Linked DNA regions of Mytilus edulis. Each later gene encodes a partner of the first gene's protein in a complex. Links are inferred from orthologs where the notes say so. Each region holds a gene or a part of one and is shown on either strand. Other genes may lie near its edges. The genes, in order: AT-rich interactive domain-containing protein 2-like and protein polybromo-1-like.

Evidence for each region.
Region 2: AT-rich interactive domain-containing protein 2-like (region 1) and protein polybromo-1-like share a complex: the UniProt entries of both Homo sapiens proteins name them as parts of the SWI/SNF-B (PBAF) chromatin remodeling complex. The link is inferred for Mytilus edulis from reciprocal best matches to the Homo sapiens genes ARID2 and PBRM1.

What each region holds. Positions count from the first base shown.
Region 1 is NC_092353.1:67,051,519-67,068,260, reverse strand, and holds the start of AT-rich interactive domain-containing protein 2-like, read left to right. Parts: upstream 1-8,698; 5' UTR 8,699-9,128; coding exon 9,129-9,220; intron 9,221-9,312; coding exon 9,313-9,406; intron 9,407-16,742. UniProt on the Homo sapiens protein: Involved in transcriptional activation and repression of select genes by chromatin remodeling (alteration of DNA-nucleosome topology). Required for the stability of the SWI/SNF chromatin remodeling complex SWI/SNF-B (PBAF).
Region 2 is NC_092344.1:83,196,946-83,213,524, reverse strand, and holds the start of protein polybromo-1-like, read right to left. Parts: upstream 7,344-16,579; 5' UTR 7,229-7,343; intron 6,804-7,228; coding exon of another isoform or gene 4,947-6,803; intron 631-4,946; 5' UTR 624-630; coding exon 492-623; intron 1-491. Other genes in the region: uncharacterized protein, read left to right, coding at 4,947-6,803; transmembrane reductase CYB561D2-like, read left to right, coding at 7,419-7,521, 11,588-11,625, 11,880-12,425; FERM domain-containing protein 4A-like, read right to left, coding at 16,452-16,579. UniProt on the Homo sapiens protein: Involved in transcriptional activation and repression of select genes by chromatin remodeling (alteration of DNA-nucleosome topology). Required for the stability of the SWI/SNF chromatin remodeling complex SWI/SNF-B (PBAF).

The DNA.
Region 1 (16,742 bases):
TGTTTAACAGGGTCGCCTTCTATATTAAAACTAAACTTCTGCCTCGAAATTGTCTTTGATAAATCCGCCTTTCTGCTCATTAGAAAGGTGTGAAGTTCTTCAGGGGTCGTGATAGTTTGCTTTTTTTTCTTTCCCAGTTTTTCTTTAAATAAGTCCTGCACCTTTCTTTTCGGAGCTTTTGGAAGTTTAACCGGTCCCAAACTCTTAGCTCTTTCGATTGTCTCAATCATGCTCTGATAGTAACTGATATTTTCTATCAAAATGTTACTTTCTTCTAAACTCCATGACCAGTTCTGTGGTTGAGGCTGCACCTGACACTCTTGAATTTCCATTTGTATTTCTTTTGTAGAATTACTTTCTTGAAACATTAATTCACGTCTTCTCACCACTGTTAATTTGAAACGAAAGACCGCACCAGTCTGCTATATGTTTACATGTGATGACAACATTGTCTAGGCAACATGTAAACATACTCTTGACAACCATGTAAATATTTCCAATGATCGATTTTGTCTATTTAAAAGTCATGTCCTATTAAATAGCAAATGTAAAAAGCAATTTAAGTTGTAGTAGTATTGATCCGTTTTATTACTAGACTATATTGATAAAATTAATTAAAAATCAAGGTTGGGGCGCACTGGGGAAATTATTTTTTCTCTTAAATCCCACAGAATTTTTTCTCTGCCTGTTATCCCGGTTTTTTTTTGGGAGTAAGAAAATTTGGTGTTTTTTGGGGTGTTTTTTTGCTTTTTTTTTTTTACTTTTTTTTTTATGAAAATTTAGGGCTCTTTTACTTGAAATGAGGGTAATTTTTTGGGGGTCAAATTTTTTTTTTTGGAGGGGGGTGCTGGAGTCGTTCAAGTACTATACTACTCCCCTTAGGGGAAAAAATGAGTTTTATAAAAAACCCCAGGATTAAGGTTTTGGTGTGCTCTTTACAAAAAATTTTTTTTATTTTTTTTATGGGGGGTATAAATACAAAGTGTGTTTTTTTTCTTCTTAATTTTGAAGTTAAAAATCACACAAAAAATGTTGGTAAAATTTTTATTTTGGATGTAAAAAGGGGTTTTTTTCTTTAAAATGGGGGGGTCAAAAATTGAAGATAATTTTTTGTTTGTGGGGGGGGGCTAAAGGAGTGGTATATTGTGTATTGCCTTCTCCTCTATACAGGCCCAATCTATTGTATTTCAATAAAACTTTATTTTTTTCACGACTTGAACGTGCATGAAATATTTGCCACTGGATGTTAAGCAACAAATAATCAATGCATATAGATGTATAGAAACGTATTTATTTGCAATAAAAAATAGAAAATTTTAAAAAGTCAGCGGTTTTTTGTTGAAAAGGTGCATTTATCGATATTTGTGTAGGAAACTATAAAATGAAGAAAAAAACATTCTTTGAAAATTCTTCGTTCCAACTCTTAAAAAAATGTAAAAACAATGCAGCTACTTAAATCAAAGTTTCAGAAATTTGCCGACAAAATTTATACAAAATCTCCTCATTTCGGAAAATACCAAAGTAATATTCAAATTCATTATGCGAAGACAAACTGGCAACGCCATAAAAAAAACAACAAAAAAAACGACCAAATATTAACAGCAGTCTACAAAAATACAACACAGAAAACTATTACTGAGCAAAGAGAAACCCTTAGGTGGTCTGGGAGGGTATATATTTCCTTCCTGACATGGGACACCCGTCATAATACTCACAAAAATTATGGTATTAAGTTGCAACATATCAGGCAATAGCAGAATCAAGATGAAAACAGGTGAATCTTCATATGATATCAATATGAACCCTGCTTCGTTTTAGACCAACCCAGCCGGATCTTATAACGTTGTATCTCACATGATACCAGTACACAGGCAGACATGTCACTCACCCAGGCGTTTTAGACCAACCCAGCAGGATCTTATTACGTTGTATCTCACATGATACCAGTACACAGGCAGACATGTCACTCACCCAGGCGTTTTAGACCAACCCAGCAGGATCTTATAACGTTGTATCTCACATGATACCAGTACACAGGCAGACATGTCACTCACCCAGGCGTTTTAGACCAACCCAGCAGGATCTTATAACGTTGTATCTCACATGATACCAGTACACAGGCAGACATGTCACTCACCCAGGTGTTTTAGACCAACCCAGCAGGATCTTATAACGTTGTATCTCACATGATACCAGTACACAGGCAGACATGTCACTCACCCAGGCGTTTTAGACCAACCCAGCAGGATCTTATAACGTTGTATCTCACATGATACCAGTACACAGGCAGACATGTCACTCACCCAGGCGTTTTAGACCAACCCAGCAGGATCTTATAACGTTGTATCTCACATGATACCAGTACACAGGCAGACATGTCACTCACCCAGGCGTTTTAGACAAACCCAGCAGGATCTTATAACGTTGTATCTCACATGATACCAGTACACAGGCAGACATGTCACTCACCCAGGCGTTTTAGACCAACCCAGCAGGATCTTATAACGTTGTATCTCACATGATACCAGTACACAGACAGACATGTCACTCACCCAGGACACATTATTCTGACTCCGAGCCGACCAGTCATTGGTTTTACCTCCTTATGGCGAGTGCTTATTAAGAAATGGCAAATATAAGATGTTAGGGATTGCCAATGAAACCACTCTGTTCAAGAAACCAAAATGACACAGGAATTAACAACTATAAATCACCGTACGGCCTTCAACAATGAGCAGTTGAATGAGAAAATACGTTTTCAAGTCTTTGTTTGACCCGGTCGGGGATTGAACCTACGACCTCCTGTAGTTAATGTTTCATATGCCGGTATTTATGAATTGTAAAGCTTTACTATAAAACAAATGCAAATGGACTAAATATCCTTTGTTTATCAAAATCTTCATTATCTGAACTGTCGCATTCGAACTAAAGAAATTATGTAACCTTGTTTTCAATTTTGGCAATAAATCTAGTTCAGCAAATTTGAATGCATGTATCGGAATAAACTTCACCAGGTTCAGTGGCGGGTTCAAGGCACAGGCACTCGTCTCAAATGTCCCCCCTCCTATATACCTTTATATAACACATATAGGAAATTTTTCTTCTTAGACGAGTGCCTGTGGTTCAAGGGGGGAAGGGGGTGGCAAATAAAGTTTTTTTTTTGTTGTTTTTTTTTTAAAGTTCTATGCATTTGAGTGTTGGACATACTAGTTACTAGTATGTTGAAACTCCCTTTTATTCTTGGGAAAATGACTGGATCCGCCGGAGGTTCACTTTGAACCCCCCCCCCCCCCCCCAAAAAAAAAAAGCCAAAACAATAACCCGTATATTGAGTCTATCGTTATGCAGTTAAGTTATAAATTGGAGTTATCTTTCTTACAACAAATACTACAATGTTTACTTTATATTTCAGTACATTGCTACTCTTAATTATAAATCGATGGTGTGTTTAAACTTTAATCTATATCTGAAAGTTCTCAAAACATTTGTAGTAAGAACATTTATCCTTCTCATTACCAGCGTGCTTTACGTAATTGATTAAGCTCCGGTGACCCCCACCCCCGAATTAATAGCAAGGGAGCAATGCTTTTATTCCACCTCCTGACCTCTTTATAAAAAAAATCACAGTAAGACCATGAACACGTCGCATAAAAGCACACTCACTACAAGTTTGAGATTAGATCAACTAGTACTGGTTTGACCGGAATCTTTTATTTTTCAGTTATACTGTGTTAGAATTTCTTCAGTCCTTTATCTCATCGTCATCATCATTATCGTTTTTTCGGATATCAAAATTCAAAGTTTATGATTAGAAGAACCACCAGCATTTATGCATAAATCATCTTTTTAAAGCGATTGCATACAGTATGTGTTTAAAAATTGAGAATGGAAACGGGGAATATGTCTAAAAGACAACAACCCAGCCTAAGACCAGAAAACAGTCAAAGGCCACCAATGGCAATGCATTGGTCTTCAACGCAGCGAGATAATCCCGATCCTGGAGGCGTTCTTAAACTGGTCCCTTTATACAATAATGTATACTTGTTCAGCAAAAATGGTCGTTACACTTAACTCCAGCACATATTAATGAACATTTAAACAAACATTAAAGACTTACAAAGGCAGAGGTTGACGACATCGGACAGACACAAACATGCAGCGAGGTTAAACAACATTCACCGTTTCCATTCTCAATTTTATATACTAGTAGCTATAGGGTTTTTTAAATTTAACCAGTTCCTAAGTAGCGGAGATCTTGAATTTCAAATTAACCGTAACAACAATTTTTAAAATGTGAATCATAACATCTAGATGTATTGTATTTCTCTAGTCTTAAAAACTCTTACTTTCCATGGGGACCACTGCTAAATTGATTTGTGGAGGACGACATCTTAGCCGGATGCAATAGGCAGTCTCAGAAGCAGCTTCCGAGAAAATTAAAAGGATATGGCTGCATGGTATATGCAAATGATAGTCATACAACATTTCAACGACACAAAAGGTTTTTTTTAGTGAGATAATAGATCGCTTCTTATTTTAGGCTAGCCGCTATGTTGCTAACGCATTGCCGTTATCCCTTTATTCATCTAGTTTTATTAAGTTCTAAGCTTGAAAAACTGTTCACATGTACATATCCAGTATGATATACGTACTCTGTTTAGAATATATAGAAGCATTTCGTATGTATGTAAGGTAGACAAAGAATATACTATATACATAGTTATTAGTTATAATAGAGAAATCTGTAGCTGGGTAACCTAAAATAGAAACAACGAAAAAACAAATGTCAACAAAACACTTCACACAAAATAAATAAAACAAATACCCCCCCCCCCTTTTCAGATAAAACAGAGATAAAATTGGGTACACCGGAAGGGTAGGCTGTCTCTGCTTCTCGAGTGGCACATGGCTTGTAAAAATCCTATCAAACCATAATTAATGTCATCGGTTCATTTGTTTCTGACAATAGTATATATATATAATATGACTTGTCAGAACATCAGAACATTATTGGGGCTGGCAGTGATATGGGCAGGGATATGTTGAAATTCGGAACAATCCCGGATCAGTCGAAGAAAAATGTCATCTTGAGTTGGTTCATCGTAGACTTCTTTTCGTCACCTTAAATAAGAATTGGACATGTATTGCTCCTCTTCTTATTTAAAGGTGACGTTTAGGTCATCCATAACTCCTCTAATATGCGTTGCGAAACATATTGTATATATACCCTTTGTTCCCATGTTGATAAGCTTTCGAATGACGTATATGATAGATCTGTAATGAGGGTTGAATTGTCACAGCAGTCAATCCCATTATTCAAAATATTCATTCCATTATTCCAAATTGGCTATTTCTTAATTTCACACGTATTTTGGCATTAAGGGAATACGATATAGTTTTGATTCCATGTTGAAATTTTGCATATAGGCTATTTTTTACCCGATTAAATCAAATATCTAATAAAAAAAAATATACCTTCATGTGCTACTTTTTGTGTAAAAAGAGGTCGAAATTTCAGATATTTGTTCAAAATTCGGATTTGTTGACGTATTTTTCCTTTCGAAAGAATTACATAACTTTTTTGTTTCAAAAGATAAACACAGGCTGTTTTTGTTAAATTATTTGTAATATCTATTCTATATAAGTATCTTATACATTTGTGCATTTTTTTTGTGCTGTATATTTATCAAATTTAAAAAAAAATGCATTACTGACTTTTTTATGAAAATTGGTACAAATATTCTTTATACGTAATTACACCAAATTTAATTTTAAAAACGAGAGGTCCATAATTAAACTCGTTTTCAAGTAAAATTAGTTTGAATGATAAAAATCAGTCGAAAAAAAGCTTTCAAATGGTGTAAAAAAATCTGTAAGTAGGGGCTGAAGTGTCGTAGCAGTCAATTCAATTATTCAAAATAAGTTATTTCTTAATGTTAACGCGTATTCCAACATTTAGGTTCTCAGTAACTCTTCTAATAGGTGTTGCAGGACATATTGACTATAAACCTTTTGTTCCCCTATGGATAAGCTTACGAATAACGTATAAGGTATATCTGTAATTAGGGGCTGCAGGATCGCAGCAGTCCATTCCATTCCATTATTCAATTTGATTTTCACGTATTTTGGCATTTAGGACCTCCGTAATCCCTCAAACGGGCACTGCGGCACATATTGATTCTTACCATTTTGTTCCTTTATCAATAAGCTTTCAAACTGTGTATACATTTTCTGTAGTAAGGGGCTGAAGGATTGTAGCAGTCCATTCCATTTTAAAAATACGCTATTGTAATTGGCCAAGCAAGTCGGTATATATATCATTTAATCTGCACGGTTCGGGTGACCTTAATGAAACGACGTTAATATCGATTTGATTGGTCTATAACTGTTTAAACACATGACGTCATCAATTAACTTGGCAAGATAATTTTGGAAATATGAGGACGATATACCCCAATCCGCGGCTCCTATGAAAGTTTCTTATAGGGTAAAGAAAGGATGAAATACGTTTTTATGAAGTTAGTTTGGTAAGTATTAAATTTATAAAAAAAATTGTTGGCTTCTCTCTAAATTGTAACATTATTTAAAAGTTGCGATTTAATGGTATTAGATAAGTTATATACGTACTTATGGTGGTCTTTATGATTCGGTTGACAGTTTTAACTTTTCCACTACACTTCCACGCAATCTTATCAAACGGTAGTTTTATTTAATCGTCGTTCGATAATTCTAATTGCAAATTTATTTGCTAGCCTGCTACTCGTACAAAGACTTTTTTCTCAAACTGCGAGAAAAGTAAATATATTAGATATACTTATTGGAGGTGTGATGAGATGATTACAGCCTTATTTTTTCTCGGTTTCGCAATTAAATTTATCGACAGATTGTAGATATTCCCATGGGCACTAATTGTACCTCTTTAATAAGTCTGTACAAATGTCGATCTCGGTCCATATGTGGTAATATGAATATCAAATTAGGTCTAAATATAGAAACAATAATTACAATCCTCTGAAAAAAATGATTTTTTTTTGTTGTTGCTTTAAACGCATATTTGTAGGGGCAACCAGCTGTCCAAACGTGATTCTGCGTTTTCCTTGAAATTTTAGCTTTGACCTTGGACCTAAGAAAACCTGACCACAGCAACTCCAAGCGACGACAATATCAATATTTCGATGAGGCTTGTTCTCCTCTTTACAAAGATGCCATATGGGTAGCCTACAGCCGTATGTTATTCCATTTACCCAAAGTCGATAAATATCGTTACTGGGCACCCTACTATTATCAAAAGTTTTCGTAGTCAGTATATATGCAGTCTATGTCTAAACCTTTATACAATGCCTCTGTCCACTCAGTATCAATCATTTCTAACAATTGAAGACCAGTTGACCTCCCTGCAATGAAACCGTGTTGGTTTTTTTTAAGAGAATAGGTTGTTTGTTTTTATGAGCTCTGTTATAAATTCCCGCAACATTTTCTCCATTATTTTACATACAACTGATGTCAAACTTACAGGTGTATAATTTGGGGCATGACGAATGACGATAAAACTTCTTTCCAAATGACGTTAACGATAATTTTTGGTGCAGGACGATAAAATGTACTTTTTCTTTTAGACAATACAATAATTGACTGATTTTGACGAATCACGTTTTAAAATTTTTTACGCTAACGGTAGCCGAAAATGCCCGTTTGACGCTTGTCGGTAATTTAAGAAGGGCTAACATTCCCACCCTCTTATCAATGCATTCTTCCAGTCAGTAGGGACTGACTTACTCTCAGGTGACCAATAACAGATAATGCATTATTATTTAAGCGGGTTTTCTATTGGCTCAGCTATCTCTTTTAGTAATCTAAGGTAGGTGCAGTTTGTCCATACCTGCATGGTGAGTTTCCTATTTTTCAAGGCCTATTAGTGTTTCAGATAGATACACCCTCCTTTATTTTCAGTTTTGACATATGTTCCCGATAAAAAGGTGAGAGGGGGTAGAAGGGGTCCAGATCCCGAAATCCCGGGCTTAAAAAACACGAGGTCCCGAATTTAAAAAAAAAAAATAAATCTCGACATCTCGAATTCGAAAAAAGAATTCTCGGATCCCAAAAGGGTCAATCCCGAAGTCCCGATAAAGGTCATATCCCCCTGAAAGCTTAACAGATGCGGATTTAGGGGGATAGCCCCCCTTTTTCAGTGGAAAAAAGGGTTCATTATATACTATAGATATACATGTGCTACTAGAGAATGACAGACTGGAGCAGGCCCCCTCTAAAGAACATTTTTAGATCCGGCCGCCACTGGTTAATGATCGTTATTAACCCAACACGTAATTAAAAACTCTATTTTCACGGAAAACTTAAATATACATGTATATAAATAGCAGTGTCACTATAAAATCTCGTAAAAATAACCTTCTGAAACAAAAGAATTATGGAAATTATGAGCTGAGGGTAGTCTTTTTGCTACCAGTTGATCTGGTTCCTTTCATAATCAAAATGTGCACATGCGCAGTAATTTGAGTCTTTAATGTCTATGAAATTAGTACTTTCGTCTTTAATTCCCACTATGTAGCGTCATCAAAACTTTGATTTTGGCGACTAAAATCATTTATTTTCTGTTGACAAAATCCTGGTTAAATCTAAAGTTCTCTTAAGACTAGAAATTTTTAAAACGTAAAATTTCGTCAAGTACCCTCCATTTTGAATAACTACGCCGGGATATTGTCAATTGCATATATGGCCCTCTACGGACAATTGCTTACAGGCATGATTATTATGTTTTTTGTTACGATTTTCCAAGAATAAGTCCACGTAGGGTCAACAATGACCATTTAAAATTAAATATCCAGCTAATTTCTAAAGAGAGGATCTCTTCGGACAAGTTATTGGAAAGTAATACATTATCGATTTTTACTGTGGAGTGCGTTTTCCTTGTGTGTGTGAAGAAAGCGTTGACTGAACGGTAACCGACGACAATAATGAGGAATCCCCGATAATATTGAGGATTTTCCCTTCGTCTGTCAACCCTGTGTTTACGTTTTTTTGAGTGCGCGTTGCACAAACAACAATATACTTCAATGTTTTATCATATTTATTGGATTTAGTGACGGAAAGTAGTGTAAAACTGTGATATTATGGCCAATATTTTAAACAAAGATCCGCTCACATTCCAGCAAGAAAAGAACGAATTTCTAAAAGAAATTCACATTTTCAACAAAAACAGAGGGTAAGTTCATCTTTCTTAGTTATTAAATTGTTGTCATATTATTATATAATTACAATATATTTATATTTTCATGTTTAATTATTATATTTCAGAACACCATTTGAAAAACTTCCTAAAATTGGTGGAAAAGAGATCGACCTGTATTTGTTGTATCGGCGTGTGATCAGCTTTGGTGGATTGCGAAAGGTAAAGTCGGTTTGAATTTACCTCCGTTCACAGTCAAGTAGTGTATCAATAGAAGCCTCGCGCTTCTCTTGTTCTTTGATTGTCATTATGATCTATAAATATTGGCAATAATAGATCAAAATATTTTTAATGCATTGCCATTTTAAAGATGGCTTCCATGTTGTGGTTTAAGGGGAGGGGCTTACTGTGTGTATTGCAAGTTGGCAATATTATTCCAAAATCTGCAGATTTTAGTTAGTTTTTGTATTGTTTGAGGTTGTTAAAGAATAACAACAATGCATATGCAATCCCTTGTTATTTATTTTTAGGTTGACAATTAAAAATAGGCCTGTATTTATGCAAAAATAAAGTGCAATCAAGGTCAACTGTGTAGAGTGAGCCAATTTTTTGCAGGATTGAAAAATTGACCCCCAAAAGAAAAGAATAGACATTTATAATTCATGCCAATGATATGCAAAATCACTTTTGATATATTTGAAAATTGATTAATTTTAGAGTAAATAAATATATGCATTGTACTATGAACATGATGAAAACTAAGTAAAAACAAAATGCAAGGTTTAACTTGTGCAACTTTTTTTTATGAATGATTGCACTTTTAATACCTTGATTGTTAAATATTTTTCTTATAATATGTATGCGATCACCAGTATTGCAGTTCCTTATTCATTGTAAAAATGTACATACATGTACATGACATAGAATTCGAATGAGTGAACTTTCGATTTAAGAATAGATACATGTACATTTTGCAGGTCAGCTTGAATCCAACCAAATAAAATTTAAGTTGCGAAAGTTGGTGGTTTGATAGTACATGTAAAATGTATTTCCATTACAATTGTAACACCCTTTCAAAAAAACACCTGGACAAACTAGATATATTTCACTATTGTTTAAGAACATTATGCAAGATTTTTAGTGATATTTTGTCAGAAAATGGTGAAAGAGCAAAAAATGAAGAGATTTCAGCAGAAAAGAATATTTACATTTTTGCTAAGAACATTGAAACCAACAAAATCAACTATCACGTTGATCAAAGAATTTACTTCAATTTAATTTGAAGATTCTAAAATGAAAGTTGAACTCAAAGCTTTATAGGCTAGAAGACATTTCTTTGGTATGAAATTTTAGACAGCCAGAAGAATGTAATGGCAAAAGTAATTCTAGCAAATCAGATTCATGAACAAATGAACATTCAAATTTACAAAAATAGCATATTTTGAAAATGTCTTGTTTATTCTTTAAAACTGAAGATAAAAGCTTCAATGTAAAATGTATGGATATGCTGCTGGGGAAAAAACAAATTATTCATGTAGTGAATATTTGAAAAAAATATATGATAACCAAAGGATAGCAGCTGAAAAATAAAATTATTTCCCTACCTATCTACCCACATTTGGCTTGGCAGGGTCAGGATTGGGGAAACAAACAATATTTTAATTTAGGCCTAACTAAGATTATGCAGAGCTTTGAAGGTTTTAAGTTGCAAATGTACCCCCTCCTCTTGTCATGTTTGTTCATAAATAATTATAAGTGCTGTATATTGAAATGATGTTGTCTGCACATCCATGCAATTGTCATTTGCTATCCAAGATGTTTACATTTAGTACAAAAATGTAGTTATAAACATGATAAAGAAAAACAGATAATTACTTACATTGTACAAGTGATCTATAAATAGAACTGGAATTTACCTTTTAATCAATGACCATGCTCTTAGAGTGACAGTGTAATCTCTGATAATAATTTAAATCTAAAAATAGCTCTAGTAAGCTGGACTCTTATTTATTAAAAACCTTGTATTTTTTTTTGTCCTTCACACTCTCAAACGTTCAGATATTAAATTAAAGACTTACAGGATTTGGATTTCAGTAAAGGTTTTTGTTTTAGTTTTATAAAAAACATACCAAAGCAAATTCCTCTATAATGTATACCATATTTTTCTGAGATTGTAATTGGATGTATACATGGTATATAACATGTGTAAAATGGGTAAATTTTATTAGAAAGGTAGAGTTACATGTATGTGATGGAAATCACCTTCATATTAACTTTACATTCATGGTTAGATATAGAAGACAACTTATTTATTATCATAAGTCCGAGTATGCTGTCATTGAAAGTTAGAGAAATAATTTCCTGTAAGCTTAAAAGAAACTTTTATGTAATAATCAAGAATATTTGGCTCCAATGCAACCCCATCATTATTGATTAAAAGTCAATTGACATTGAAAACTTTCCATAAAAATTGTGGGCTGATCTCACACTACTTATGTAATGTAAATGTATTTATGTAATGTAAATGTATTTATGACTTTTCATAGAAAATAAAAAAATGTTGCAGTCTGGAAAGCCCAAAAGAACATATTGAACCAATTCATTTTAATGTAGTTTTCATACACGTAACACTTACAGTATAATATTTCATTTTTGTCAGCAGGTAATATTCACATGCATGCATGATGCTTGGCATTTTCAAGGTGCCTTTTCCCCACTTATTGTGAAACCAATTAAGTCCCATCTTTAACACTTTATACATATATGTTTTGGATAAGAGAGAAAAAAATATTGATCTATATACGAAATAAACTTAAGCTTCATTGCAGAAAAATAGAAAATTTCTTACCAGGGGTTAAAAATTGCACTAGATGGATTTCTCAGTACAGGGGGGGGGGGGGGGAGGGGGTATTGTACATTGTTTATGCTAAAATTTTCAATTAACAGTACTGGGGACTATGATGCATTGAATGATAGTCACCTTTGACCTGTCTTCAACTCTTGTCAGACAGCTGTTGAACACTAAACCATGCAATAAAATATTTCTAAATAGTTTAGTAGGTACCACTGGAACATTGTCACAGTCTGACAGTTTCAAAATGAAAAACAGAAGATGATGGGCGCCAGATGGGGCTGAAAATTAGTCCCCCCAAAAAGCTGAAAAGAACATTTATAGAATATATGGACAAATAGATTCTACTGGGCAAGGTCAACTGTTACTGATGTTGATGATATAGACAATGTTTTGTGAATATTTTCCAGATCACACCAATAAAAGTCTTCTATGTATGTGGGATCAACAAATATTTGATTAGAAACACTACCTGGTTTCAGATGACAAGACCCATGAACATATTTTCTGTGCCTGTAAATATTTACCACCCATAATACAACAGATTAAAGCGAACTAGATTATAGAATTCATTGTATTATGCAGCAAATTATGAATTTGTAAGGCATGCTCAACTAGTATGTCAGACTTGATGTGCGAGCAGTTCTTCAAGTTCAAACAGGGCTAGTAAAATCCTGCTACCAAAAATCCTGGGCTAGTGAGCTGTCTACAAAAATGTTTAACCCCTGTCTATACTTTTATCCAAAATCATTTTGAACTGTCTTTATTAATTAAGCTGAGCTATATATGTAAAAAAAAATATAATGTAGCAGTTGTAAAATACTGGAGTCTGGCATACATTTTATTCACTGTATCACATTGTAGTTCTTACTATAGTTATTATAATTACCTGCTGTTTTAAATAAATCAACCCTGACACATACATTTGAAACAGTACTGGCCAATAAAACAAGATTTATGGATGTAATATTTTGAGAGTCCTTGAGGTCTTAAAAAATATATATTTTTGTAGATCATCATGATCATGATCAAATCTGTAACTTAAACTAACTTTTTGACACACTGATGATGACAGACAAAAATGTTGAGGTTTTTATGAAGACCCACAGGATAAATTTTGCTACTTCTGAAACCAAATTTCTCCTAGGTTAGTCGAGACTTTTCAGGAGAACTTTCTTTGTCAAAGCTTTAGATTGGCAATGATTGGTTTAGCCTATTGGGCAAGTATGATAAACATTGTATGCTAGTATTTATAGAATAATTCAGTCTTCATGCTCGACCACAGGCACAGGCCCACCAGCACAAAAATGTACTGGTGTAAAAATGCTGTTCTATGTAGGCCCTGTAACAATATCATCTCTTTTAACTAAAATTTGCATAAAATTCAATTTTGAGGCTTTATCTTTAAGATTGGAATATCTGAATTCTTATTTTATTCAGATTTAAGCATGTTAATGAAATGTAATGTAGCCAAAGGTAGTTATAAATTCTGAAAGTTTATATATTTTATAATGTTTTAGCTCACCATGCCTAAAGGGCCATTGTGAGCCATTTTCAGGCTTTGGTGTTCGAGGTCTGTTGTCCTCTGTTATCTTTTATTAAAAATCTAAAACTAGATAAAACTACCAGGCCAAATGCAACCAGATATATAGGGCATTACTGCCGCTCAGCAAGTCAATGCAGTTTTTGTGCCTTTCCCAAGACAGGAGGATCTGGCCTTTTTCATGTTTTTAGTCTTGTACTATTTTAAATTTTATAGTTTATTTAAATGTTTTGGAGTTAAGTGTGCATGACAGACCGTGATGTCCATTTTCACTGAACTAGTTCACAATTTTATTAACAAATGCAGGGGCCAGCTGAGGACCACCATTGGATGCAAGATTTTCTCTCAGTGTTGAAGATCCATTGGTTGACTTCGGCTGTTGTCTGCTCTTTGGTCGGGTTGTTGTCTCTTTGACATATTCCCAATTTCCATTCTCCATTTTAGTCATGGTCAAATTTTAAAAATAACATAGACATGAAGACTGTGTATGGCTGACATGACCATATGGCTGTTTCACACTGAATCAATGTTGAGCAATAATCTAACAATAATCAATCAACATATACGTTTGTCACTGACAATGATTAAATCTAAAGCTCACATTTACAGTAAATGTGCATTAAAATTACATTTTTTTATAATATATCATACATAATTAAACTATTCCTTTGTTGCACATGCTGAAAACAGTAGCAGATGTTTGAGGTCAAAGTAAAGTTCACTTTATTAAAAATGCAAATCTGCAATTAATGTAACCTGCATTTACTATATATACCTCTCATACATGTACATTGTAGTTTTTGTTGCAGTAATATTTTTCTTCTCTTTGGTCAGGTTGTTGTCTCTTTGACACATTCCCCTTTTTTAGTTCCCTACCGACGAAGTCAATGAGGAATTGACTTTGCACTCTGTCTGTCTGTCTGTCTGTCCATCAGTCAGTCTGGCAAATCAGTTTTTCAGACTTTTTTCTTCATGCTTGAAGATATTGATTTGATATTTGGTGTATTGTTTTATCATGACAAGTTACAATCAAGTTCAATTTTCACGATTTTAGCTTTTCTTCTTGTTCAGTTAAAGCCCTTTCCCTAGTTCATTCTCAATTTTATTGTAGTTTTCTTTACACATTCTGTGGACCATTTTGTATAAAGTTTAACTTGCCTTTTTATAGAAACTGCATCCGAACAAATAAGGGAGAATACTCAGTGATAAATTACACGTTCTTCTTTCTAGGAAGCTAATAGTGCGGTGACAGAAGTGTAAAAAGTCGTCTAGATCGCGAGTTTAATCTCCCCAAATAACACACGACTAAAAATGGTCTTAACTGAAAGACAAATATGTCTTCTTTAGTTTTTGCCCTGTCGTCAGAATTTCGTACGGTCACATTTTTCTAAAAAATCGTTTTAATGACTAGTAGTATATTGGAAAGTTTCAACCCCCCTTTTTCAAATTGAAAAAATGTGTATGTTTTCTCACATTTAATTGAAATAGTTTTTCCTGAAGCCATTTTTATATGTCAAAATATTCTATTTAGTATTTTATTTTCTTCTAATCTATAAAATTTGCAAAGTTTGGACTGTTTAAAATTGAGGTAATTTTAATTGCAAATTCAGACACAAACTTTGGTTTCTTCTTCATAGCAGTAATAAAAATTATCCCATGATATTTTAAGCATATAGTATTTCATAAAACTAATAAGTGATAAAATTTTCGGAACCAAAATATGAAAAAAACCTTAAGAAATCAATGGAAAAAGAATGGATTAAAAACTTCAATTTCAACACGGAACTTAATCACTTGCCTTCCGTCACATTTTGTGTATTAGTCAATAATTTGCTCTCAACTGATAGATGGAATTACTACCTTTTTCGTTATTATATACACATATTTTCAATTAAAGTGCACATATATGCCACATACTTTGTTTGTATATGTTTATATTCTATGTTTTTTGTTACAAAACATCAAATATACTTTGTCAGAAAAGTCTTATTGTAAAATCAAAATAATTGACGGATAGTTTCAGTAAATATTCCGTGATATGTGAAGTCCGTTGCAACTTGCTCCAATAAGTCTAAAAGAAAAGAATAAAGTCGTTCAATTTTATGCAGTGCTTAATATGCAAAAAAAAAACTCGACTGAAATTTTGAGTCAATTTAACCATATAGGGAAGTCGATTTTTGTATCTGCATCGAATAAAAGATTGGATGAGGTGAACATGTTTCATGAAAAGGCACTTGTTTCTGTCAATATGGGTTTACTATCCATACCCGTACGAAAAATCACCCGTACGGGTATGGATAGCAAACCCCATATTGACAGAAACAAGTGCCTATGATTTCATGCGATAGCTGTTAATTCGAAGAACTCCGTGCAGGCAGTTTACCATCGTTCATGGTACAAAAGTTACAAAAGTTAACATATTTGTGCCCCCTTTTAGAGCGAGGAAGCTTCTTATCTGATATTTAATGACGACATACAATTATCGGACTGTTGTCCCACAGTTTCGAGTATTTGTATGCGTTCTAGAATGCAGTCGTTCAACTGGAGCGCTTGTACATTTTGTTGCAACAAAACATTTTAGAAATATCATAAAAACTACGCAAGTTTGAATCAGATGAGCGTATGAAGAATGTTTTATCCGTGTCAGACAAAGTTAAAATTGAAATTGTTTTTCCGTCCATCTTTTAAACTTCAAGCACTCTGTCATTTTGGTTGCATTACAAATCATTTGCTAAAAACGAGAAAAGACCCAAAAAAGTCCAAACCCGTGGAAGCAGATATCTCAGATCACGATACTGCTTTTACTAATTTTATTTTGGCTATTGACAACGATTTAATGGTCATTCCTCGTGACACCGTTACTTGATAAATACAGATCTACTCTAATTTAAAATATTCTACTTTTAACATGCGGTCTAAACTTATTGATTTCTATTGAAATTCAGTTGTCAAACAACAAGTTCAAGGCAAATATAACATAATATATAGTAGCAAAATAACTATTTGAGATGCAATATCAGCTGCTAGGCAATTGAAAACTGACCTCAAAATCTTAATGTCAACGGTAATAGACACACATAACGGACAGATATTTCATTCCGCTGCAAGTATACTTAGAAAAGACATCGAAACTCTAAAGAAGAATACCCAACTTCGAATGAATT
Region 2 (16,579 bases), on another chromosome or scaffold:
AAATATTATATATATCATTGTATATTAATATTTAATATGTACATCTAGGATCTATCTTCAGTATCGAAATATATTTATATTCAAACACAGCTATAAACATATATACATTGTACTGTTTTTGTACATGCTCTGGCATCCTCCAGGTTTTTAGGAGTTACAATGTAAGATACATGACTACACACATTCTCCATTTCAAATGTGCAAATGCTTACGCCCAACGGTTTTGTCATAAATTGATTGATTCATAAAATCTATTTCTTCATTCTTGTATAACTTCAATCTGACATCTGGAATTGCCATATTTCAGTTTTTCAATCAGCATCAGATAGAGTGATTTTTAACTTAATCAATCGGTTTTTACTTAAATACAATACAAATACAGAAAAAAATAATGAAGTTTGTTTAAAAAATCAACATAAAAGTTTGGATTAAAAAGATTTTTCAATCAATGACAAAATGCATTTTTCATACTCTTAATAAACGGTACTTACTGGACTGTAATGTGGTGATTTTTTACGTCTCTTAGTTTGACTTGATGGACCAGCTGGGGGACCAGGAGATTCTTCTCTATCTTCACTCTGCTGTTCACCAATGGCCGATATTCTTTTTCTTTTAGCTCCCATATTCTATCTAAAATGTAATTAAAACAATAGAAATTAAAAGAACCTTTGAAGAGCCACCCGAGCCCCGCTCACATGCACAATGCCCTCCACAATGGCAGATTTTGATATATATAGAAATTCTTAATTTGACTAATTATGGACCCTTGGGTTTCGAAATTTCAAAATTAGATTTTTTCAACACAATGAAATAATAATGCATGCACATGAGAGAGAAAAATTGAAAGGGGAGACAATCAAATAATTATATAATGACATTGATCCCTCCCAAAATATTAAAATTGTCAACTGTTTTCTGGTTATACATGTTCATGTTGTATGCATATATGGTTCCCCTATGAATTGCATGCAATGTTCCTTATAAACCAATAGGGCGCTGTAATTACAGTGGAGTCCTTGGTGTAATTAATAATTAATCATCAAATTGAAGAAAAAAAAACAACATTTTATATAATAACCAGTGTTCTCCCCAGGCCGTTTTAGCGTCGCGGTACCGCGACGCTATATTTTCTTCCCGTGACGCTATAATAATTTCCGCGACGCTATAATTATTTCCGCGATGCTATAATTATTTTGATGTTATTTTTCTCGTTTCTATATGACAAAGCCATGTCCTAAATTTTGAACTTTATTCTAATTACCGCTTATGATCATAAAAAATATATTACCTTTAATTGTAATCCCTTCAAGTCGGACAATAGAGGCAATTTAGAGTGATTAAATACAATGTAGGTGTTGATTGCCCTTTGGGTGATAACTGTTTGGATACGAATACCCCACGCTGTCACTTGTGACATGATTGATACCACGTGGTATGCAATCGGAAATTTCGACAAGAATGTAATCAAAAAATCATAAACAAAAAATTCGAAATATATGTTTGCAATATGAAAATTCAGAAAACAAACAATTTTTCTCTTTTTACAAAGAGGTTGAGTCGTATCATTTTATGACTTTCAAAATATTAGTACTTTCTTTCTCTTCCTGTGTAAATCGAGAGTGAAAATTTTGATATTGATCTAAATAAGTTTTGTACTTTCTTTAGAAAGTGATCATAATTGGTTTTAGGTTATGTTGCATCCATTTAATGCATTAAAAACGTCATATTCATTTCCAATCTCTTGTCAAACATTGTTTATTTTCGTATTTTTCATTGCTATCGGCAGCCATTGATTATTTTAGTGTAAACTTCTTATCGGAACCGGACCAGATATGACAAAAATCAGCATTTAAGAATAATAACAGTAGACAGAAACAATGATACCTAAGCATTAACAGACTTCAGTGGCGGATCCAGGGGGGGGTTCCGGGGGTGCGCACCCCCCCTTTATTTTTGCCGATCAATGCATTTGTATCGGGACATATGTTTTGCACCCCTCCTTTGCCCTGGGTGCCCTGGGTTAGCACCCCCCCTTTCGAAAATTCCTGCATCCGCCCCTGGACTTTGTTAGATAACTTTGTTGAAAATAAATACTATTTTGATAAAAAGAAACAACTGGGACTAATTCATTGAGTACCATTAACCAATATATTTCATAACATGATAAAGAACAAGATTTTTTAATTTAAAAGTTATTGCTACATGATACTTTCTCTTCCCTTTTTTTTTTTTTTTTGTAAGAACCAGTGTTTTTTCCTACATATTTAGTGCAATTGTATCTATACAGGATGCACTATAATAAACCATTCATTCATTTAGCTGGGTAGGTACAATGTAGGGTAACTGAAACATAATATATTTTTATTTGGCCCAAGAGGAAAAAAATAATTCTGGAACTATAAAATGAAAATAGAAAACATTAACTGAAAAATCTGTTATCATGCATCATATAGTTAGTTTAATTGTATTCTCAGTTATGAATTCAACAAAATATACACAAAGATTAGGGTGGAATGAAATATTTTATTAAAAAGATGAGGGCCAATAGCATACAAACAATATAATAAATTTGTAATAAACAATAACGTATATAACATAAAGGAAATAGAGCATTGCCACGACGCGACAAATTACATTGAAAAAATTACAATATTTTTTTTTTACGCCAAATGTGATGCTATCCAAAATTTCTGGGGAGAACACTGTAATAACTCCCCAATTTTTATCAGGATTTTTTTGGGGATATATATTACTAAATTTATTTCACTTGAATGGGCCGGTTTAAGAAGTTTGCTTATTTAAGACCAGTCCATCTTTAGACAGGAATGTTGGGATAAACTCATTAATGAAGTGTCCAGTTATTCATCCCATATCATACACTCAGTTCTTTTGTATATGGGTTTGGTGACACTGATATGTGATTAGAATTCAATAATTATTATGGGGACAAAGTCCCCAATAACAGTAGAAAAATCAATAAAAAAAAATCGTTCAATTTTCCTGAAATTTTCATTGTACTAATGAACTCAAAATCGTTCAATTTTTTTGATGTCATGTTTTGAATTCCAGCATCTGCGCATAAATCTACAATGTACTTCCTTTTTCGGGTCTCGTTTGTATGAAATTTTGAGTAAAATATATATTTATCTGTCTAGTATAAAATAGGAAGGAACGCAATACCAATTTCATTTTAAATAATTCCTTGATATGAAAAAACGTTACCTGATGATAGCATTTCTTTGTTTACATTGCATATGACGTCATAACTTAAATAACGTCACAACTAAAATCCCTAACAACAGAACCAAAATCGGAAACGCTACGGTATTTCCGTTTCTGTTTTTTTAACAAATATTTCAGTAACAAAAAAATAATTCATACAGACTTCGTCCCCATATACAGGTAATGCCTGCCTCATATTAAAACGACAATCACCTTCTCACACACATCTTCAAATAGACTGTCCTTATGCAAATTAAAACATAAGCTCCACCGGATCAGTTGAAATAACATACACCTAATCGCTATTCTTTCCATTCTGGATAAATTAAACAACTTTTTCATCCAGTTAAAGCTATCTGGGACCCTGATTAAACAATACACCATGCATGATACTTTTTAATGAGACCTGTTTAAACTACCATAAATACTTCAAACAAAATAATTTTTTTACTTCAATTTTAATTTCGAAAAAGTCATTAGTGGATCATACTCTATCAAAGTTTCTTAATGGTCGCTTTCTAAAGTTTTACCTCCCTCAGCTCACTACTGATGACCTCTATTTTCGGCAGCATGACCAAAACAGGAAGTTGTGTAAATGACTGTTTTTCCTGGATGGACTAAATAACGATCATAGGGTGTATTGGGGGTAACACGAATGACCGAATAACACTGTTATTATCCGAATAACACTTGTAATGACCGAATAACACTTGAAATTCTAATATTATCACATATTGGTGAATTTTGAACATTGATTATTAAATAATAATGTATTATCGATGTATTTTATAACTTAACAATGATTTACAAAAAGCAGATAAGTTCATAAAGATAATTATGAATTTAGTGTGTACATCAAACATGGTGGCCATTGTGATTTCTATGATCGCCATATGCGATGTACATACTAAATTTTAAAAGTTTTTTATGAACTTATCTGCTTTCTGTAAATCATTTATAAGTTATAAAATCTATCGATAATATACTATTAATGAGGGGGAGGACAGGGGTAAGGAAGACAGGGAGAAAGGGGGTAGGAGAAAGGAGAGGAAGGCTGGGAGAAAGGAGAAAAAATAAAATATCTCTCCTTTTAAAAAATGCAAGAAAAAATATCTCAAAAGGAGATGTTTTATTCTAATGGGAGAAAGGAGAACGGGGGTAGGAGAAAGGAGAACAGGGGTGGGAGAAAGGAGAAGGGTACCCCCCTGTCCTCCCCCTCATTAATTAATAATCAATGTTTAAAAGTCACCAATATGTGCTAAAATTGAAATTCCAAGTGTTATTCGGTCATTACAAGTGTTATTCAGATAGTAACAGTGTTATTCGGTCATTCGAGGTACCGTTGTATTGGTAATGCATATAAAAAAATATCTAATAATTGAACTGGAATTTCAATAAAAATTGGGTGCGAAAGTGTAGGGTGGGAACGTGTCGGGTGCTAAAGTGTATCGACTATTGGGTGTGAGCGGACCTGATACATGTAACTGCGGGGGCAGATGGAAAACACTGGCACTGCCTTTTTTGTTATAGTTATTTTTTCTGTTAGTGTTATTCAACTTGGGATAAAGGGAAAAACCTGGTTATGGATAAACAGCTTTCTCACAAATCGAACAGCCAGATGTATGCTGAATAACTTCTTTGGAGAACAATTTGATACCAAAATCGGCTTGCCACAAGGGTCAGTACTATCACCCACCTTGTTTAACATATTCATAGCTGATATAATGGATAACACAAAAGGAGAAAATTGCAAGTTTGCAGATGATGGCACTTTATGGCATAAGGGGAAAGACATAAAGGAAATGAAAGAAAGAACTTCAGAGGATGTCAAAACTATTTTAAAATGGACAGAAAAATGGAGAATTAATGTAAACCTGGAAAAGTGTGAAGTATGCCTATTCTCAAAAGGCAACACAGATGCAGAGCAGAAAACATTAAAAGTCAACTCCTTCTCCTATAGATATAGTCCAACACCGAAGCTACTTGGAGTAACTCTAGACGAGAAGCTTAAATTTGACACCCACATCAATCTGATGCAGAAGAGGGCAAATAATGCAATATATGTAATTAGAGATATTAAGAGCATGGGAGGAATATCAAGATCAAAACTACTCCAAATATACAACAGCATGGTTAGATCTATCATGGAGTATGCATGCCCAGTCTGGCAAATAACATCTGCAGAGAATATGAAGAAATTAGAAGCTGTACAAAGAAAAGGCTTGTCAATATGCCTAGGACTACCAGGAACATCAGGTAGAGAGGCAATGGAAGTTGAAGCCAACATACAACCCATAGACCTCAGAATAGAGGAAATATCAGTACGTGAACTGGCAAAAATACAATCAAAGAACATAGCAGAACCAATTAAACAACAACTAGAACAGTATTTAACAAACAACGCAACCTATGAACAACAGGATTCTCCATTTGGTAAAGCTATAAACCAATCCATAGACATGTTCAAAGCCACGAAAGTTGACATCAAACTTATAGAACCAGAATTCACATACAAAGCTGGTGTAGATGTCATGCTAAGGAGATCACCAAGTTATTGGAGTCGTCTAGGTAGCTCAAAGAACAGAACAGCCGAACAAACTGTTGAAAGTAAACAGGTTGTAAAGGACCTATTAGGAGACAGCACAGACTCAACAGTAGTGGCATTCACTGATGGTTCATGTCAAGGTAACCCGGGACCATGTGGGGCAGGAGCAGTAGTATATTCTGGAAATAGCCAAGGCATAAGTCTAAAGAGGCCAGTAGCTAATAGAGGATCGATACTTCTTGCTGAACTAGTAGCCATACTAATGGTCCTGGAGCACTGTATAACGACTATAAAGGACCAGTTTTCTGAGCTTAAAATACTGTCAGATAGCCAGACTGCTGTAGGCATCTTGACTCTGAACTGGAAATCTTCTAACTACATCGACACAATTACTGATATCAAAGAATGCATGGGAACGCTCTTAAGACACGGCATACTAACAACCCTATCTTGGATCCCAGGCCATGCTAATATAGCCGGGAACGAGATAGCGGACCAGTTGGCAAAAGACGCTGCAAAAGAGGCCTCATCACTAAATGATCAGTATAATGTCATAACCATGTCAGATGTAAGATGTGCAGTCAAGATGTCTACAAAACTCAAATGGCAAAGCAGATGGACAATTAGTGAAACTGGAAGACAGCTTTTCAACCTAATTCCTATCGTTGGTAAGGACGCACAACTAGACAAGCCTAACAACCAAATAGGAAGAATATTGTCAGAAATAAGAACGGGCTACAGCAGACTTAACAAATACAGAAACCAAATCGGTCAATCCCTCACGCCATATTGTGAATGCGGAGAAGAAGAAACATCAGAACACTTCCTGCTATACTGCCCAAGATACCAACAAGAAAGAGAGGACATGCGAAGACAAATGGAACTACTTAACATCGATCCAACAAATATACAGTCAATACTAGCACCACCAAAAAGAGAAACCTACGAAGCAACACCGCAAATTGTAGGGGAATATATTACAAAATCAGGGAGATTCCAAGAACTTGCAATCCCTGATTCCCGATCCTGCGCCTAAACAAGTATACCAAAGTACCGCGAGATATTACCTCGAGCAACGGTGTACCATAAGAGGAGGAAGATAGTACACAGAGAACAGTAGTGTCAATTATTGACCTTAGGATCAGGATCAGGAACAGTATCATGCTGGGCATAATTGAATTCGTGTACATTTAGCTCAAGCATCAGAATTCCACTGTGTCTATTGTAAACATGTACAAGACAAATAAAACTTACAAACTTGTATGACAATAAAAATGCTTTGAAATCAAGGCCTAAACTATAGCCTGTATAGGTTGTTTTTTTGGATTACTGCTTCATTTTCCGTAAAGCACATTTACTAATATATGATGCTTGGATATTTATCATCAATTAGAAACTAGATTTTATCCAAAATTTAGGTTTTCTGCATTGTTTTTGTAATCATTTGTTGTGTTTTCTTACTTTTCTTTGTGACAGACGCCGTCCATCAGCGTCAATGTGATGCTTGCATCGTCTGATTCACTTTTGTGTTTGTTTACAATGTGCGGTGATGAGGGAAATTTAATCAAAATAAATGTTTTTTCTACTGAAAATTTATAAAACTACTTGTTTCTTTGAAAATTTAAACGAAAATAAAACAATTGATGATTAAATGCAATTTATATGCACACAATATTTTTTTAAAACAGTTCCATTAGAAAAGGTATCTTTTTGTCTCAAATCAACACTTTCCCATGATAGTGAGTTTTGGAGTTGTGAGTTGTGGCTGAAACTCACAGTTGAAAAATGGTTGCACACTTTGCCACTATCCTTTTTACAGGATTTATGATATATTCGGCTGTTCCAGGCTCAAGTATTAACAGCTCCATTTTTATTTTAAAACAAAGATGAGAGAGACTTTATAATTTCCCTTTTCCTGTAAACATTTATGATTAAGGTTTATGTACCCTTCTGTAGCCATTTTTGTACGAACTTTTCAAATTTCAATTGTATCAAAACTACAGATATAATGAATAATAGAGATAGGCCATTTTGTACATATTCCAAGGGGAAACTTGATGCAAAGCATTATTTTTTACTGTTCCATTGCATTTAATAGAAAAAGAGGACTTTGTGGCAAATAAATCAAGATTTTTATAGAAAATCCACAGCCTTTATCCTTGTACTCTCATATTTGGCAATTTGATGACTGATAGATATAGGATTATTGCATGCAGTGCAAGCATTGATTTCCTTAAAACAAGTTTACAAATGTAGTTATTGGTTAAGACAAGTATAAATATGGCCAAAATCAAGTACACCTTTTAGGGTGCGCTCGACTTTAGTGACTCAGCACGAGGTGTTTTGGAATTTACAGGTTACTTAGAACTTTTTGTAAAAAATAAACACTAGCACATCATAGAAAATCAAGTGAGTAATTTATGTTTCAAATTTTATAACAAAAATCTCTGTATTAAAGGCTGTGGATTTTCTATAAAAATCTTGATTTATTTGCCACAAAGTCCTCTTTTTCTATCAAATGCAACGAAACAGTAAAAAATAATGCTTTGCATCAAGTTTCCCCTTGGAACATGTACTAAATGGCCTATCTCTATTATTTATTATATCTTTAGTTTTGATACAATTGAGGTTTGAAAAATTCGTACAAAAATGGCTACAGAAGGGTACATAAACCTTAAGACAAAAATCACCTCAGTTTTACCACCTGTCAAAAATGGAGTTGTTTTGAAAATCTATTCTGTGATTGATTATTACTGTTCATCAAAACAAAGGTAAAAATACCTTTCAGGTCATCAAATGCTTCTGTTCCCTGATCTTATTGATTTGAGTGTGTTTCCTGGTCATGGCACCATAAATGTAGCGATTAAAATTGAGGTCATCTACGCTTAGATATACTAACACGTCTGTTCAGCCAATATAGGATTATTACTTTCTTAAATAGAATTAAAATAATTGCTCCTCTGCAGTTCAATCAATATATGTGTTGGTGATTTGAAGTTACATCAGACATATATTTATAGGTCTGCAGAGGAGCATAAAGAAACCATGAATCAGGGATCTCCATGGCCTGTTTAACGATGGTGCCCCGCCATCGTTCAAATGTCTTGCGCCATCGTCAAATGACTTGCCCCATCGTTCAAATGTCTTGCGCCATCCAGAGATGGGTCCGATTACTTTCAATGTAATTGATTAAATTACAATTACTTTGTCATTTGTACGATTAAATTAAATTAATGATTACATCATTTCTGAAAGTATCTGATTAAATTAATGATTACATTGGCAAAGTAATCATGATTACATCTGATTACAATAAATTTAAAAACAAAACATTTGGATGATTTGGATGAATAAACGTTTAATATAACTATAGCATTTTTGAGAATATATTTTATTTGAGTCAATTATAAAATGATAACTTCAAATTAAACGTCATCTAGTTAAATAAACACCAAATTTCACTACATATATATATACATTACACTTTATCACCAATGATCTCTAAATTATTTTGAATTAAATTTTATAAAGATATATCATAATCAAGAGTTTTTTTGTTTGTCTTTTGACCTCTTTCATAATTTATATGTATTCCAAGTTGCAGTTTAAATATGGCTGAAATAAAGTTACCAGTTAAAACTATGTTGAATTTTAATAGAAATGTGTAATCAAATTGTAAACAATATGTATTAAAGTATTTATTAAAAACCATTGCATTTTACACGTCCAGTCCAAATACAAAAAAAAGTTTAAAAACATATTTGTCCAACTTTTAATTTAGTTTGTGCTAATTAGATAAATTTTCATGTCTGATTTATCTTTTATCATATATATTTCCCTACAGCTATACTCAATTGGTAATTGCAATAAAAACAAACCTTAATTAGTCTCCTACCTGTCAATTTAAAGTTGACAAAAATCACAAAAATTAACAAAAGATTATAATTCAGGGTTAAAGAAAAGTATTACTTGAATATATATCTATAACAGTTATAATCAAATATCAATATGAAGATCATTATAAAATGATGAATATACATGTATGTACAATATCTTTTACCAAGATAAAAGGTATATAATTGTATTATATGTCTCTGCTTAGGCTAATGATGACTTTTCAATACTGTAACAGTTTATTCTTTACTGAAGTAGACAAGCTTAAAGTAACCAAACCATTTTAGTATGTTAAAAATTTATCCAATATGAACAAAGAGGTTCATTTAATGACCAAAAACACAATTTTAGATTTTTTTCATTGTAATCAGAATGTAATCAAAAAGTAATCATGATTACAGGGTATATTGAAAAGTAATTGATTAAATTAAATTACATGTAATCAGATTTTTGGCTGATTAATGATTACACTGATTACTTGAAAAATTGTAATCAATTACAGCTGATTAACGATTACAATTACAATTACCCCAAGTCTGGCGCCATCGTTAAATGACTTGCGCCATCGTCAAAACTGTGATCGTTTTTATAGCCTGACGTCATTTTTTTTTAGCAATTATAATCAAATGCATGTAATTGCATAACCTTCGGGCTTTCTTTATAGTATAATCCAGTTCTAACGCCTGAGGGATATCCGGATTAAGATCGCTAATCACTTGTACCTGAGCTTGTACAGGTAGATCAACAAAGCAGACAGGAGAATATTATCTGAAGATAGACGATTCAATTGTCGAATTATTTAATTAAGTTTCCGCAAATGCTTATGATAATTCAGATTAAATAAATAAATTAATAGTCTAGTTACATAGTTTAACAAGTAAAACACGTGCTTTTATTTTGACTTACGCAATCAGCATCCCCCTTTTTAAGAAGTTCAAAATAAGACGTAAAACAGTAATTATTATTTCATCGCAAATAACTCGAGTACTGCTGTATTGTCACGATAATATAGAATTACTTTAAAGGTTAAAAAGTAAAAACTTTTAATATTTCCTGTAAATAAATATCGTATCGTAATTCCGAATTCATTTCGTAGTTTACAATCAAATTGATACATCCGCGTTTCCGGTTTCTATTCCGACTTGAAAAATGCATGTTGCATAGCATCGCTTTTCTAGATAAAGTCATTAAAAACCTTTTCATTTGACAATGTTCGCTTTACAAATCTTTTTAACCTTTTACATAACCCGTACGACTCGTGTTGTCGTTGCTGCAAACCAGCCATATATACCGGTAATGGGTTCATGAATTCTGAATTTGACAATGTCCGTGAAAAATAAGCTCCACATGAATTTTAACCCGCATAACAATTACCGAAAATAGCAAGAAAACTACATTGGGACCTTTGTGATAGCTATTGGTCATTCTCGACTAAGGGAAAGGGAGGGGGCATGAGGGCTTGCCTTTGAAGGGTTACAAATGGCAATTATTGAAAATATATATACTTCTATATACTATAGTATTTATAATGAGAATTCAAATAAATATAATTCAAATAAGCAATGAATTAGCATGTTCACCTATCCTTATGTGGAGGGATGAAAAACTTTCGATCGCGTTACGCTGTACATCGTAGATACGGTTTATGATGGTGAAAGTTCCTCCATCGTTCAATTTTCATCCATGGAGATCCCTGATGAATATGCAGCAGCAAACTTTTATTTAAAAAGCGATTTTGAAAAGACGGATAAACTATAAAAATTGCCTCCTAAAGAGAGGGAATGTCCACCCATTTACGGATTATCGGTCATCTTCTGATTTTATGGTTTATAATCTATAACTTAATTTTGTAATAGTTATTTTTATTTTATACATGTATATAGTTTTTGTTTTTTAGATGAACATCTTTTTTTTTTTAAATTTCAGGTCTATTTTCATGGCATCCTACACTAATGACAATAGCTGTAAGTAATTTGGATACTAACTGTCTAGAAATATTGGCTTGCATGAGTTAAGTAATATTATTTTTTGAGGAAAAAATGTCTACTTTTATTCATGATCATTCATTACTTCAAAACTCTACATTTTGTAATAACAGAGAAATGTCTCCCCTTAGTAGTATATGGTTCGAGTTGAAAGTAAAATAAAGAAAGATAGTGTCTACCCTACATTTAATGCAAGTGATCGATGTTTTAATATTCTTTTACATTTATTTCAGATGATGTTCCTTATGTTTGAAGCTATAATGCTGTTTAACCAACAAAGCTCATTGTTTTTAAGTTGGAGCCGATTGATTCGAGGGACAATACATGGGGTCATGATGTTTTTTGGAGTTGTGTGTGCAGCTGGAGGCTTCACTGCTATTTACCTGAACAAAGACAGAAATAATAAACCACACTTTCAAACCTGGCATTCATGGTTTGGAGTGGGAACTTTATGTTATTTGATATTGCAAACAATAGGAGGCATTGGATTAAAATACTACAATATATTTCGTTTACCAGCAAAGTTAGTAGACATGAAACTTTATCATGCCACTTCTGGCTTACTTGCATTTACAGGCATATCAATAACAGTTTATCTAGCATTGTTTTCTGAATGGTTTTCATCAGTAGCTGATGGCACAACATGGTTTGCCTGTGTGGCATGCTTATCTTGTATGGCATTGACTGTGATGATGCAGGTTACCTCCAATTATATGCCACAGACCAAAAAAGTCCCACAAAATGTTGATACCAGACCAAAACATGGAAAAAAGAAATAAAATTTATGAAGTTTTAATTTCTTAATTTTCTGTAGCCTCTAGTCATCAGTTTTATTAATCTCATGCCAACGTAGTCGAAGGTTACTTTAATTTTGCACTCTGTCTGTCATCTGTCTGGCTGCCTGCCCCACGTCCGGAAAATCAGTTTTCCCCACCTTTTTTTTCATGCTTGAAGATATTGATATTTTTTGTATTGTTTTATCATGACATGCATGACATGTTACAGATCAAATTTAAATTTTGTTCCAGTGTGAAGATTTTGTGCAGAGATATGGTCCTTGGACTTTAATTTTGTGCAGAGTTGTTGTCTTACTACACAAGTCCTTGTTTTTATTTATTCAAAAACACCTGTAAACTCTGAGGTTGTCAGGTCAAACCCAGCTAGTGGCAAGGTGTTTTATACTCTAATCTTAATGGACAAGGATAGCCAATTCTTCTGACATTGGTTGTTGATCCTATACAGGAGGGTCTGGATGGGGTTTATAGAATAGAGTATAATGGACAAAAGTGCAGAATAAATGGCTAGGCAAATAAAGAACTGACAAAAATAGACCTAAAAAATAAAGATTGAGAAAAACAGTATAAAAAAAATTACAGATGAAGGACCTCTCATTCAGGTACTCTATATTCTTCTTTTGCCAATAAATACAGAGCATAATATAACAAATGTCACTAAAAGCAGTGGCGGATCCAGGGGGTCCCACTCTAGTCTAGTCAAGCTTCAGTGATTTCCTATATAATAAACAAAATTTGTGCACAGCTCCTCCCCCCCCCCCCCCCTCTGGATCCACCTATGGAAAGGTGGAGTTAAAAACCAAGCAATAAATAAAGAAAGAAAGAAGAGAAAATGAATTAAAGAACAAGAATAAAATTCCTCCCCAAAATTCATAATAGAATTCTGATAATAACAATTTACAAAGCCATCTAGGGTCAAGAATTAATTTAGAAATTTATTACTTTATTTTCATGACACAATCTGTAAAAAAATCATATCAAAGAGCAACACAATCAAGCAATTCTGGTCAGATTGAGAATATGACAATAAATCCAATGTATCATGAAGCTTTCTGCACGTTAAGAACCCTTTGAGCAACCTTTTAAGGGGTCTGGATGCAAGGCTTAACTTCTGTACCTATCCGATATACACATACTGTGACATTTACCGCCCTTCAGACCAATTGACCCTATTGCAAGACCTACCTGTTGTATTCATTCATTGTTAATTTGTATTCCTCCTTGTACATGCATGAAATATTTGCTGCTGGACGTTAAGCAATCAACAATCAATAAAAACATTCGAGCAATATAACAACACATTACCATTATGCTAAAAGACCATGAGAAGAACACTAAATCAGCTCTGAATCAAAATCTTCTGAACTTTCTCGACTCAGAATTTGGATATTGTGTGAAATTCATATATGGATGCAGGGACTTTCGATGGATGGTGTCAAACGTTGTGACTCATGAATAAAATTACTGGGTCTGCTTCAAAAGCATTATATTCGTTAGATTTGGTGTTTTGTTAAAAGAAGTTTGAATAAATGAGCATCTGCGACTGTCAAAACTCGACCTTCAAGATGAAATAGCATCAACATGTAAAATGGAGTTCACTTCTGTTATATAACTTGACAGGTGTCAGATAAAATCAATTTTACGTCGTGTCTATGATAACAGGATGCCTTATGCTTTCTGGGCAGTGTTCTTTCAGTTTGTCCGTCTAGTATCAGCTTAATGGTCTGGGTAAACTGTTAATAGACATAAGAAAATGTGGTATGAGACAACTTTCCATTCAAGTCACAATTTATAAAAGTAAACCATTACAGTTAAAAGTACGGTCTTGAACACGGAGCCTTGGCTCACACCAAACAGCAAGCCTTAAATGGCCCCAAACTAAAATTACTAGTGTAAAACCATTCAAACGGGAAACCAAGCATGTTTAGCATGAAGATGTGAGTGACATCAATTTGAAAGTAAATATGCATGTTGATGTTAACTTTCTATAAATGTTTGTACTAGTGGATGTATAAAATAGATATTATGAAGTGAAAAAGTACAATGAAATATAAAGATAATGATATCTTGTATTTGCATAAAGATATTATTGTAAAATGAATAGAATTTCCATCTATGGTATGCATGAGCTATTTGCAACTGGACGTTTATCGGAAAGGGAACACGGTTTATTTTTCAATCAACAAGGTCACAACTTTATCTTGGAAACTGGAAAAGGCCTGGAATTTGAATCAGTTGTTTCAGACCTGGTAAATGCTCTTGAATTTTTTAGATGAAATTTGTGAAAAGTCGAATACCGTCCATGTGTATTTTAACTCATTTGAAATGCAAACGACGGGTAATCTATTCAAGATTGATGGCTAACCAAATATTTGACTTATACGACACTGTACAATCTATAGTTAACCAGATTCAGATTAACCAAGATATCGGTATTACCTAAACATACATTTCATTTTAAACAATTTTTTAATCTAAATCATAACAAGAAGCAAATTATGTTTTTGTTAATGACGGAGCATCTATGTATTAAGACAATCTAATATGACAGATATAAGTTTTTTGATTCGATATATTCAAAACTATTCCGTACAATAAAGGAGTTATGGCACATGAGTTATGGCTGACCAAACTGTCACAGTGAAAAAATTGCTAACACCCTTAAATATAAAACAATGTATTTATCGTTTTTTTGTCGAGCCTGCAACTTTTGTTGCAGAAAGCTCGACATAGGGATAGTGATCCGGCGGCGGCTACGGCGGCGTTAGCTAACTTCTTTAAAGCTTTATATTTTAGAAGGTGGAAGACCTGGATGTTTCATACTTTGTATATAGATGCCTCATGTTACGAAGTTTCCGTCAGTCACACGTCCAATGTCCTTGACCTGATTTTCTTGGTTCAGTGACCACTTGAAAAAAAAGTTCAGATTTTTTGTAATGTTGAATTCTCTATTATTATAAGTAATAGGATAACTATATTTGATATTTGCGTACCTTGCAAGGTCCTCATGTCTGTCGGACAGTTTTCACTTGACCTCGACCTAATTTCATGGATCAGTGAACAAGATTAAGTTTTGGTGGTCAAGTCCATATCTCAGATACTATAAGCAATAGGGCTAGTATATTCGGTGTATGGAAGGACTGTAAGGTGTACATGTCCAACTGGCAGGTGTCATTTGACCTTGACCTCATTTTCATGGTTCAGTGGTTATAGTTAAATTTTTGTGTTTTGGTCTGTTTTTCTCATACTATATGCAATAGGTCTACTATATTTGTTGTATGGAATGATTGTAAGGTGTACATGTCTAGCGGGCAGATGTCATGTGACCTTGACCTCATTTTCATGGTTCAGTGGTCAAAGTTAAGTTTTTGAGTTTTGGTCTTTTTATATAATTCTATATGCCATAGGTCAACTATATTTGGTGTATGGAAATATTTTATGATCTTTATGTCAGTCGCGCAGGTTTTATTTGACCGTGACCTCATTTTCACGGATGATTGCACAGTGTTAAGTTTTTGTGTTTTGGTCTATTTTTCTTAAACTACAAGTAATAGGTCAACTATATATGTTTTAGAGAAGCATTGTTAGCTGTACATGTCTGCCTGGCATGGTTCATCTGACCTTGACCTCATTTTCAAGGTTCACTGGTCTTTGTTTAGTTATCTTGGTTTATGTTCTGTTTGTGTGATAGTTGTAATAAAGCTTAGCTTTATACTTAGGACTATCAACATAATATCAATGATTAGTAAAGAAGGCGAGACATTTTAGCGTGTGCACTCTTGTCTAAAACATGTTTCGATTTTTACAATTTTTATTTTTTTACTTTTTGTACGACTTCATGACAAAAGCAATGATATTATTTCCGTGCTCTTTTATGTTTTCGTTAACCACCTTCCCTTTTGAATCCATCACTGTTCATGGTTAAAGGTCGGAATATGCACCGTGTCCAGTAGTAGTAGATTTTTTTCTATTTGCTGCTGTTGCTACAACCTGAAGACAGTATATTTAGTATTACACATAAGATTTTCTCCGTTTCAGTCCATGTTTCCTACACCACTCCAACATCTCATCGGTGAAGCCTCCAATCACGGATTTATTTTCATATGATATGCTCCTACCAACATAAGCAGTGTGTTTAG